Linked DNA regions of Oryzias latipes. The protein of the gene in region 3 purifies or fractionates together with the protein of the main gene of each other region. This does not show direct contact. Links are inferred from orthologs where the notes say so. Each region holds a gene or a part of one and is shown on either strand. Other genes may lie near its edges. The genes, in order: ccdc86, ebna1bp2 and SRSF protein kinase 3.

Region 1 (3,752 bases), on a different chromosome or scaffold from region 3:
TTGTAGTAAAACTACAAGACAAAACAGTGGATTTCATGGCAATTTAATGTTTACATTAAATCGTGTTAAATATTTGTGTGTGTTTTGGTGTTTGAATTTGAAGCCAGAGTGTCTCTCTTCTCGATTTTGCGGAGCTGTTTCTTCTTCATCCTCTTGATCTTAGCCGTGTTCCGGATCTATGAAACATATTAGGGAGAAGGTTGGCATGTTTTATAAAGCAGATGCGTGAGAATCAGAACGGAGTCTGCTTCGGACGTACCACTTGCACAATCTCTGCTTTGCGTTCGTTCTCTGCGCGGCGTTTCAGGTTTTCTTCCCTTCTCTTCCTTTTTTCCTAAAGAAAACAGAACAGAGCAGAGTTTGTTGGAGGGGCCACAGCATGGACCCTGCAGTGCTTCAGCACACACACGCCTTCACGTTACCTCCTTCTGTCGTGCTTTCTCCTCTTTAAGCTTCAAAGAATACGCCTTCACCAGCTCCTTTTCCCGCTTGGCCTCCATCTTCTTCTCCCATGAGGAACACAGTGGTTTGTCTCGCAGCAAAGCAGAGAACCTGGACGAAAAGCGTCCCATCACATTTGTGGAGACAGACATTCAAATGGATCATTGAGAGGAACTCAGCAAAAGAAAAGTATAACATTTACAATTAAATGAACAAGGAAAGAAAATGTTTAGATGTTTGTAAGAAGTTAAATAAGAAAATGTTCTTTTTAAGAAAACCCTTAGTTACAAAAAAACGCTTCCTCAAACTAATCATTTGTGGCCTCAAATTTGTATTTTGCGCGCTTAAATGAGTGTTTAGTAATTCATGACCATGAATAAACATTTGATTAGCATTTTGTAGGCACAAATAAGTAATTCATGGCCAGATATTAACCCTTCTATTTGCAAGTGAGTATTTTGTGCCTTCAAATTTCCATTTTGTGGCCAAAATTAAGTACTTGATGGCAACAAAAAATTAACATTTTAACAATTTGACCACAGAAAAAAGATTTTTGTGCTAAAAAATTGGTAGCTTGTGTAGTCAGATTTGCATTTTGCGGCCACAATTAAGCGTTTCACGGCCAAAAAATTTTGTCAAAATTTTGTCAAAATTGCATGTGGTCAAATGAGCATTTTGTGGGCATAAGTTAGTGAGAATTGAAGATATTTAAATACTAATTTGTAAACAAATTAATACTAATTTACAACATACCAGTTAGTGGCCAAAAACGAAAAATTTGAGGAGTAAATTATTCTTATTGTTATCATGTCTAGAGCTCCTTCCGGAGCCCCACATTCTAGGAAGTGTTCCGTCAGATGGGTGAAGGTTCAGAAGAGAACAAGCAGACAGACTTTTTGCTCCTCACCGCTGTTTGTTTCGGTCCTTCCACACTCGTCCTGATTTGGGTTTTCCCAAAGGAATGACTGCGCTCTGCTTGACGTTTGGAGCAGCAGGAGGAGGTTTCTTCTTCTTTTTCTTTGGGATGGTTTCTGAACTCGCAGGAGGAACCGTTTCTACAGGCTCGTATTTTAGCACGTCATGGTGGTCTCCGCTAGCTTCATCGCCGGCTGCTTCCCCCACCGGCTCCTCGTTGTGGTTTTCTAACTCTGGTTTCGTTGACCCACTGCAGTCGTCTTCGAGGGGATCACCGGGTTTGTTCTCTGGTCCTACCGTGTTTTGTGCCTCCACTGCCGGCAGCTCTTGGAGGACAGAGCGCCTCGTCCTTCTGCTCGGAGTCTTCACCGAGGCGGCGGGAGTGCACAACCTGCGGCCACTCCTGGTCCGTCTCGGCTCCTCCTGGACCGGCTCCTCCTCGTGTCCTCCTTCGGGAGCGGGATTTTCTTCCACCGTGGGCTTCACTCTCTTGGGCATATTGTCAGTTTTGCGGTCAATAACATAAAAACTGTGAAAAACTTTACCCACGTGGGTCCAGACTGTACTTTCCTGCCATACGTCATTCTGTTTCCGGGTTTCAACGTGAGATGTGAAACAAAAGTACGCATTACTGCCACCTACAGGTGAGACAGCGAAGGTGCAGCCTGCAGTTGGCGTTTGTAGAGACTATGTATGAAGTATTCAATCCTGCACCAATACAAAACCTGTTAAAACAGTCTAATTTAAAACATCAAAAAGAAGGTTATTATTATAATTAGTGTTTTTGTTTTGAGTTAAAGTGCCTTTATTCTTTCTTTTAACCTGGAAAATCAATAATCTATTGTTGTTTGACTCAAACAAATTTGGACAAGGTATGGAATGTCTTGTGCACTGACCATATATGATGGTCATGTATGATGTTCTGTATTTACAGTATTTGTCAATAAAGTTCATAAATAAAAATACCGTTAGAGCACTGTAAAGCAGCACAAGGAACAAATGCAGACAAACAAACTGTTATAAAATAACTGTTATCAATAGACATTAAGGTTATAATAATGGCTTTGAAAAAAACCAAAGAGAGGCAGTGACGTAATCAAATTTAAGTTTTGACCGAGAACAAGTACGGACAGATCAAATGTTCTGTGATACCAGAACAAACACTAATAGACTTTATCATAACTCTCACATGTCTTTTGTCTATACACTTTCTTTTAAACTGGAGAAAATGTAAACATCTTTTCAAATCATTCTTTTGTGGGTTCCAAAGTTTAACACAATATTATAAATAAATAAATGCATAAACAACACATTTGTTTTAAAGTAGTGCGAGCAACTGTTACTTGAAATCAAACACTTTTTAATTTCAGTTTTTCATTTTCTTTTGTTAAATATTTTCAATTATTTCAAAAAAAGGTTCATGTCATCTGCAAAAAGACAAGATTCAGTTTTTTAATAAAAATAGCTAGCTATTACTTCAATTAAAAGCAAATATATAAAAAATAATTTAATGATTAATTCCAATGTAATCGATATAAATGTATTTGGTTTTATCTAAAGTAAAACCTGCATATCCAAGCCCATTGCTAAAAAAAAAAAAAGCAGGCAAGACAAGGGGAATAGACTGTATGAACGTCATTTAACATTTGGGTAATCTTGTGCAATAAGAAGATCCATAAATTGGAAGCTATTTTTTTACATGCTATTCATTTATTTGTTTGTTTATTTTTACCACATAACAATTCTTCAACATCTTTGAGAAGTATACACCTCGTGTGAAAGGTAAAAATAAAATGAAAATCTAAGACTCGTGTTTGGGGAAAAGAAATTGCAAAATAGTGCCACCGTGCGGTTGCATTAAATCACTGCATCAACATGTCACGTGATTTTACTTCCGCGTCTCGTGATGCCGCTCTGCTCAAAACACAGCACTCAGGAAATTCAGTTCCTCAGCGGTTCTGTCGTTGGGAGTTTTGATTAAACAAAAAAGGTTATAAACAGAACGGAGCAGCAGAATTCAAAATGAGACTGATCTTGTCTTTGTTGAGACTTAGCTTCCTGCTTACGGTGTTGTCTGTACAACGGGTAAGTTTAACTTTACATTGTAGTTCTCCAGGTCTATCATGTTGTTCTGTTTATTAAGGATGTGTGTATACTGTTAATATAATTAATACTATTAAACAAAGCTCTGGGGTCGGTTTTTATATGTAAAAAGATAGTATTGTGTTTGCTTTTCATTTAAATATTTGTATTAATTTCAAATATGTCATTTAAAAGGCTTAAAATGGTTTTAAAGAATATTCAGACAAAAAAAGCGTACACAATTTCAATTTAATGTTTTTTTCTTTAGTCATTTCCTTCATCAATAAACATTTCTCCCTGTAGTTGCTTTATAA
Region 2 (3,752 bases), on a different chromosome or scaffold from region 3:
GTCCTTGTATTTCCGCTTAGCACTGGGGCTGAAGAATCCAAGGGAAAACCAGAGGAATTTAGAGAAAATATGACAGAAGCAAAAGAGGAAAAAAGCAGAGGGGAGAAGCTTTACCCTTTTTTGTTCACTGCTTTACTGGGACCTCCTGAAGAATTATTACCCATCTTCTGGTCTCCTTCCAAAAAGTCCAGTTTATCTGACATTCCTGGAATAAGAAAATGTAAAAGAATGCATCAGATTTGGCATTTAACAATTACAAAGTACATATCATGGCCACAGAAACAAAACCCAAGTCCTCACCTTTCTGGTATTTCTTTACAGCAGACATCATAGCCTTCTTCTCCTTCTGTCTCTTCTGGATCACCTCTATTTGGACCTGGCAAACAATCAGACAGAGGTTCCCTCACCATTTGGAGCACAAACACGTCTTCGTATCTACAGAGTGAGAGGCGGTTAAGAACAAGTCTCAGCAAAAACAAACCTTTTTGCCAAATTTCCGTTGCTCCCGCAGTTTCTTGGCCTTTTCAGACTTTTCCAAAATCATCTGCTTTGCGGTCAGCTTCTGCCTGATCTGGAAAACAAAAACAAAACAAAACAGGTTTGTTCCTGTTTTCCAACTCCTGTAAAGTAAAAGACTGCATTTTGTTCACAAACCTATTACAGGGTCTCCACAGATTTACAGAAGTGAATTTGAAAACCTTCTAAAGAACAATTAAAACCTACAAATCCGTACAAAGAAAATGAAACAAACAGCTGGAGTCTGGCTATTTCTTTCTCTACACATGCGTTTTGATCCGCTTGACCCTTTCTGTGCCACATCTATGTCTTTCAGCAAACTGTGCAGTTTGCTATAGTAATTACTAACAATCAACACAAGTAATCCATATTTTTCAAGCCATTTCTTCATGAATTTGCATCTTCCTAAAGCTTTTTAGTCTTTATGGGTCCACAGCCATCCATATTACAAAGGTCCAGCTTAACTTTTCTATCAGACATCTGCTACAAATAAACAGAAAGCCACATTCCTGCCAAGTACTATCCATGATTAATGTTTGGAGCTTAGAACATGTTAGAAAGCACACCCCCTTTAGCATGAATGAAAGCAAGTCACCTTCTGCATGTGCTGATCGGACTTGGCCATTTCTGCAAAGTAATCATCAGGCCTTCTGGTGTTTATGTCATGCTTCCTCAGGAGAGGGAGGGCCTCCAGGACTGTGGCTTGAGCTTGACGGTAACTGTAAAAGAAAACAAAACAAATGACATCATCAGTTTAAACAGCCATCACTTCAGTTTAACACAAACACACAAACCTGGTCATTTGTTTTTCCTCATTAGATCAAAACTTCAATAACTCTTTTTTTTCCCGTTTCTGAAAACTGTAAATGGTTGCTTTAAAAAAAGTTCCTTTAAAGAAAAAAAAGCTGTAGCCTAGAACACCATATGACCATTACAAAATCCTGTTACAAAATATTCCCACCGGTGATTTAAAAAAAAATTCAAATCTGAATCCTGAGCTCAATATTTTGAAATGTCATTTTATTAGAAAAAAATAAAAACACGCATGATGTGTTTTTACCAGCACCAATGTCAGGTTTATTGGGTGTGTGGAGTATCTTTAGTCAAAGCTCTAAATTAGGATCAACAATGACATGCAGTCGTACAAATGTGTAAGAACAAATTGCAGATTGCAATTATGACAGGGTAAAGAAATGTTTTGCAAATGTGATAACCGAACCCAGATTATGATAATACTTTGAACCCGAGGTCTAGAACACAGTGGTCACTTACAAGAACATCTCCCTCTGGAAATCATCCTCTGCATCCGGTCCTCCATTTATCTCAGCAGGAACTTTCCCTTCCACTTGGGATAAGACTGGAAGAGTGCTGAGGTCTAACCTTTCCACCCAGGAGAGGTCTTTCCGGAAGTCAGCAAGACACTCTTTTAACCCCTCCTGCAGCCATTAAACATGTTCACATAAATGCACTATAAATAATACACTTTTTTTCTCTTAATTTAAGAGTAGTAGCTTCATCACAGGTGTAACTAAAACTGTAAGAAAACCAACTTACCACATTGTTTACCAATTTCTTAGATTTATCCACCAGAACGTTCATTCCAGGTTTCAGCAACCCTTTGGTGAAGGCTTCCTGAAGCTACAGTTAAATAAATTAATACATTACCTTTCGTAAATTAGAATAATCACTTAGACCAAATCTTTCAGAGACAATAACTTTAACCAATTTTTTAAAAAAGGGGAAAACAAATCCCCAAAGCGTACATCATATAATGATAACTTTTAGCTGAACAACTATCAGAGCTTGAGTCCGGTTAGCATAAAAACTCACCTCTCCATCCGATAACTCGCTGCCTTCTTCCTCTGAATCCAGGCCGAGAAGCGACTCCTCTTCTGCAGACTCCATCGTGTTTACGGCTATAACCATAAAGAGGGCAAATCTTTCCAAACAACCAAGAAAAGTTAATTGTTTTGGACGCTTCGATTTTCCTCACGTGTACTAGCGTTCACGCGGGGAGAAATGACGTCATCGGAAGTTCTACAAGCAGAGTGCGCCGGTGGAAAACTGCGATCAAAACAAAAGGTTCCTACAAAAAGAAAATACATTCCACTGTTACACTCAAGAATAATAATGCAATGGTAATTTATTTATTATCAAGGTTGTTCATTTATTTATTTTTTCCCAAATTAAAATATTACCCGCAGTTTCAACCGGCAGAAAAAGAAAACAAGGTGAAACCTAAGTGTCTTTCAAATTCAGCTGGAGAGAGCCACCAAACATGTTAGTGTAAAACAAAAATGTAAAAAAATTATTATTATTATTATTATTATTATTATTATTATTATTATTATTAATAATAATAATAATAATAATAATAATAATAATAATAATAATATCATTATCAGCATCATCATTATTGCTGCACGGTGGAACATTGGTTAGCGCCCGTGCCTCACAGCAAGAAGGCCCCCGGTTTAAGTCCCGGCTGGGGGACCTGAACCAGAACACCAATGGGGGACCTGTTTGTGTGGAGTTTGCATGTTCTCCCCGGTTTTCTCTGGGGTCTCTGGCTAGGTTAATTGGCAACTCTAAATTGTCCCTAGGTGTGAGTGTGAGAGTGAATGTGTTATTGTGGCCCTCCAAAAGACTGGTGACCTGTCCATGGTGTCCCCTGCCTTCGCGCACAATTGGCGGTGATTGGCCTCTGGCATCCTGTGACCCCAAATTGGGACAAAACAGAAGAAGATGAATGATGAATGAATGAATAAATGAATGAATCATCATTATTATGGTTGGACTTCCCTATGTGGAGTATGCATGTTCTCCTCGTCCATTTGTGGGTTCCCCCAGGGACTTATGCTTCATAGGTTAATTGGTTACTCTGTCCCTTGGTGGGAATGGGAGTGTGTGTGGGATTGTGGCCCTGTGTCAGACTGGTGACCTGCCTTTCACATAAGTGGCTGGGATAGGCTCCAGCAGCCAAGCGACCCCAAAAGGGATTTAACGGTTTTAGATGATGAATGAAAGAATTATTATTATTATTGCTTTTGTTATTGTTGTTGCTGGTATTCTCAAAAAACAACACACACACCCGAAGACAAGAGAGCGTTTTCCTGACATTGACTCCATGAGCGTTCTCTATCTGCTGTACTGTGCGGGTGTTGAGGGGTCCCGGCTGCTGCCGCTGCTGCGGTGGGGGCCTTGGTGGGGGGGCGGCTGGGCTCTGTCTCTCTTTT
Region 3 (3,652 bases):
TAGCTCAGATGCTAAAAAAGTGAGCACCCCTGATATAAAGTATTATTTTTACAATTGCAATTTTAAACAAGAGCTTTTGCCATAGACTTACCTTTAGAATCTATGTCATCGGGCTGAAACAGACCCTCTTCTTCCTCCATTCTCTAAACACAAAAGAACACTTTTATACTCTGGTATTCTGAAGTACTTAGAAATATTTTGAAGAACTAAAGTTGAAGCCACAAGTACCTGTATGTCCTCAAGTCTTTCTTCCAATAGTTTCTGCTGACGTTTTGCTTTTCTTTTCAGTTTCTTTTTCTTATTTTTGGACATTTTTCCAGCCTGCACATACAAACAAACACAAACAAACAGGTCAGGGGGCTTAAGGTTCTACAGAACAAAGTGTGCATGCTCTGGGTTACCCTCAAACTCACACACTGGGATGGATGATTGAGCAGCCCTTTCCGTTTTAATACTGTATATCTTTCAATAGTGGCCGTTCTATGATTGACGCCGGTCTCCAATAAACGCCAAGTCTAACACATGCTCATTACTGTAGATGCCGGTCCCTAATAGTGCCGGGCACCCTTTTATTTTTTATTTTTATTGTTTTTTTCAAACTTGTTCTGTCCAACAACTGAGCAAACAGATAAGCGCTGAAGGCCTTTTGTGTTGGACAAGTTTTACTGTTACAAAAGGGGTTATATATCTTCAGAAAACCAGAGTGTGAATTTGTATAAACCCCTTTTTGTTTTTTTTTGTTTTTTATTGATTTGTTACATTTAGTGTGTGGGGGGGAGGGGAAAATTGTGTGAAGGGGAGAAGAGAGTAAAGGGGAGAAGAGAATAAAAGGGAGAGAGGGGGAGAGAGTGGGGAATACAAGCGCCGATTTGAATTGGTTATTATTTTAAGATGTAACAATTCTACCAGATCTGCTGAAACGACAAATATTACATCAAAGGTGAAATTCTGACACTAAGATAAGCAGAACATATCTGTCCATCAATACACTGTGGGCTAGGAGGGGGGATGAAGCAGGCAGGGAGCAGTGTGGCAGTGTGCACGTGGGGGTGGAGATACATGCACGCTTCCAAAGTGAACCCTGTGTTCATCATGAGGGAAAGCAGATCCTCCCCAGCCAGACCACGGCAACAGGCCCCATGCAGCCCCGGAGGAGCGGGAACCACCCACCCAGCCAGGCACAGAGGGTTCCCCCCCCAGGCCACAGGACAGGCGCGCTCAGCTGTACCAGGCGGCAGCCATTAGGGCCACCGGGCGCTGGACACGGGCCAAGGACGAAGCCAGGGCCCAGAGGGCCCAGGAGCCGCCCATCACCCAGCCGGAGCCTCGTCTCCGCAAGCCAACCCCAGCACCCGACCCAACCAACTTAGAGATCACCACGCAACCACAGCTCTACGCCCTCCTCCCACTACTCTACCCTCTACAACTCTCCTCACCCGCCATGTTCTCCGACCCCTCCTCCCATACCCCCCCAATGCCCTCCCCACTCTGCGATGGGTAGGGAGAGCCCCAGAAGATCCTGGTGAGCCAGCCCCCCAGTCTGTCCCACCCATGCACTCTCGCAGACACACTCACAATCTTCTAGTTGCCCCCCACCCCCCGTCGCCACACAGTAACCCCTTCCGGCCGATCAACGCACCAGCGCCGCACGCCCGACCACCACTACAGCCAACAGGATCCCTAAAAGCCAGGCCGCCCTGAGAGGACCAGGCGGGTGAAGACCGGCCGCCCCTCCCAGACCCCACCTAAGCAAGGTGGTGTGGGTGTACTGTGTGTGTGCTGCAGGTAAAATAGGAGGTCTCCAGTGTGGCGGGCCCCACTGCTGCCAAGCAGTAGAGCCCCCCCACTCCGGGGTCCCTCTGTGATTGGTGTGTATTTCCAGTGTTTGCTGCTAACATGTAGTGTGTGTGTCTTAAGTGGAAGTTAAAACAGTGGGACGGACCAGTGAAAGATGAGCACGGATGTTTCACCGTACCCCCCTCCACCAGACCATCCCCACAAAGCCCTTGATCACATGTGTCAAACTGAAGGCCCGCGGGCCAAATGTGGCCCGCCATGTCATTTTATGTGGCCATCGAGAGCATGAAGTTTTTCATTTCCTAAAACAAAATTTGACGTGTATTTATTCATATCTAGGTGGAATCAGACTTGAAATATTGGGCAACTATACATTAGGACTTAAACACTGTCCACATAACCTAACCTGACAGAATCTAATGTAAAAGGATTTATGCTAGAGGAACAAGCAAACATATGTTTTCTATGCAACTGTAATTGTTACTTTAAAAAGATATGATAAATAAATAAAATGAGTTATTTAACATTAAGGAGTAGTTTCATTTATTTTTCATTACATTTAGTTACATGTATAAGTTTCATCTGGCCCCTTGAGGACAGCCACTATGCTCGGTGAAAATGAGTTTTACACCCCTGCACTAGATGAATCAGGGTGTCTAATATGTGAGTAAAAGTGGAATGGAGGGCGGGCGCCGACGCGACCCCAAAGAGAGACACCCCCGGTGAGCCCAGGCAGCATGTCCCACCCATCCAGTTCCCGGAGCCCTATGTGCCTGTGTGCAACATTTGTTTGGGTGGGAGCGGGGGACGGGCTCTCTTAAGGTTTTATGCATCTTATCACAAATACCACTCAAATGGATTAATATCGCTTTTTGCCAATGTAGCCTTAAACTCCAAGGTCACTCAAAGACTCACTCTGATCATCTTCTGATCTATTGGAAAAGTTTTCCCAGCGGCCTTTTCATCCTGATTATGCAGTTTTTAGCCCAAATAAAAGAAAAAACGGTAGTGTTTTCCAGAAAATAGTTTCTGCAGAGGGGCAGGAGTTCATTTGGATATTCACCTCTAAAATGTGGGTGGGACCGTTGGCACCGTTGACCCCCCCCACCCCCACCCCAACATCACCTATAACCGAGAGCTATATTTGGTTGGTTTTAAAGTGTGGGCCAAGCTTGTGTTGAGTGGATGGGTATTCCTTAACAAAGCAGAAGGATTCACGGTCAAGTAGCAAGTCCAGAAGCACTGGCATAACCACGCCCCCTGCCTACCTACTGATGATAGAGATTTGAGTTTGATCCATTAAATCAGCTAAGCTAACAATTTGTCTCTGAGCACTGAACAAATCTGAACACAGCAGGCATCACACCTGGGCACTTACCTGTAGATTCCTAGGAGCCATACTAACTAGAGACATGGAGACAAACAAGTAGAAAAGGAGGAAACAGAAAGAGACAGGAAAGAAGAGCAGTTAGAAGTTGACCAAACAGAAAGAGACAGCCAATCAAAACCCAGAGTCTCAGCTGACATGCAGCTGTCTGTCCATCAAATAGGAAGAAGCTTTCAGGTTGGGAGCATGTTGAACTCTCAGAGCTCAAGAGTACCTTCCCTGAAGTCTGCTTAGCTTCACAAAGATGTAGGACTAAGGTGATGTTTGATGATTAAAGTGCTTCTTCACACAGACTGAGAACTGATTAAGAAACCTGTAGGAATTATCTTCACACTAACATGAAAAAAGATCCAGGTAGACATCAGAAAATTACTGTACAGATCAGAGCAGAGGTGCCAGAACTTTAAGGCTTCATAGGTAAGGTAGGCAATCGTCCTCCCAATCAGTGTGTGGCCCTGTGACTGAGCA

Evidence for each region.
Region 1: the proteins of SRSF protein kinase 3 (region 3) and ccdc86 purify together in Homo sapiens (affinity purification with mass spectrometry; 3 studies listed by BioGRID and IntAct, with this or other methods). This does not show direct contact. The link is inferred for Oryzias latipes from reciprocal best matches to the Homo sapiens genes SRPK3 and CCDC86.
Region 2: the proteins of SRSF protein kinase 3 (region 3) and ebna1bp2 purify together in Homo sapiens (affinity purification with mass spectrometry; 3 studies listed by BioGRID and IntAct, with this or other methods). This does not show direct contact. The link is inferred for Oryzias latipes from reciprocal best matches to the Homo sapiens genes SRPK3 and EBNA1BP2.

What each region holds. Positions count from the first base shown.
Region 1 is NC_019859.2:15,309,596-15,313,347, reverse strand, and holds the start of ccdc86 (coiled-coil domain-containing protein 86), read right to left. Parts: upstream 2,306-3,752; 5' UTR 1,855-2,305; coding exon 1,349-1,854; intron 553-1,348; coding exon 423-552; intron 335-422; coding exon 260-334; intron 177-259; coding exon 66-176; 3' UTR 1-65. Other genes in the region: glb1 (beta-galactosidase), read left to right, coding at 3,379-3,441.
Region 2 is NC_019862.2:16,838,316-16,842,067, forward strand, and holds the start of ebna1bp2 (probable rRNA-processing protein EBP2), read right to left. Parts: upstream 2,552-3,752; 5' UTR 2,443-2,551; coding exon 2,347-2,442; intron 2,155-2,346; coding exon 2,071-2,154; intron 1,953-2,070; coding exon 1,789-1,952; intron 1,236-1,788; coding exon 1,112-1,235; intron 572-1,111; coding exon 482-571; intron 377-481; coding exon 301-376; intron 206-300; coding exon 115-205; intron 29-114; coding exon 1-28. UniProt on the Homo sapiens protein: Required for the processing of the 27S pre-rRNA.
Region 3 is NC_019865.2:30,373,036-30,376,687, reverse strand, and holds part of SRSF protein kinase 3, read right to left. Parts: intron 3,202-3,652; coding exon 3,176-3,201; intron 322-3,175; coding exon 229-321; intron 144-228; coding exon 92-143; intron 1-91. UniProt on the Homo sapiens protein: Serine/arginine-rich protein-specific kinase which specifically phosphorylates its substrates at serine residues located in regions rich in arginine/serine dipeptides, known as RS domains.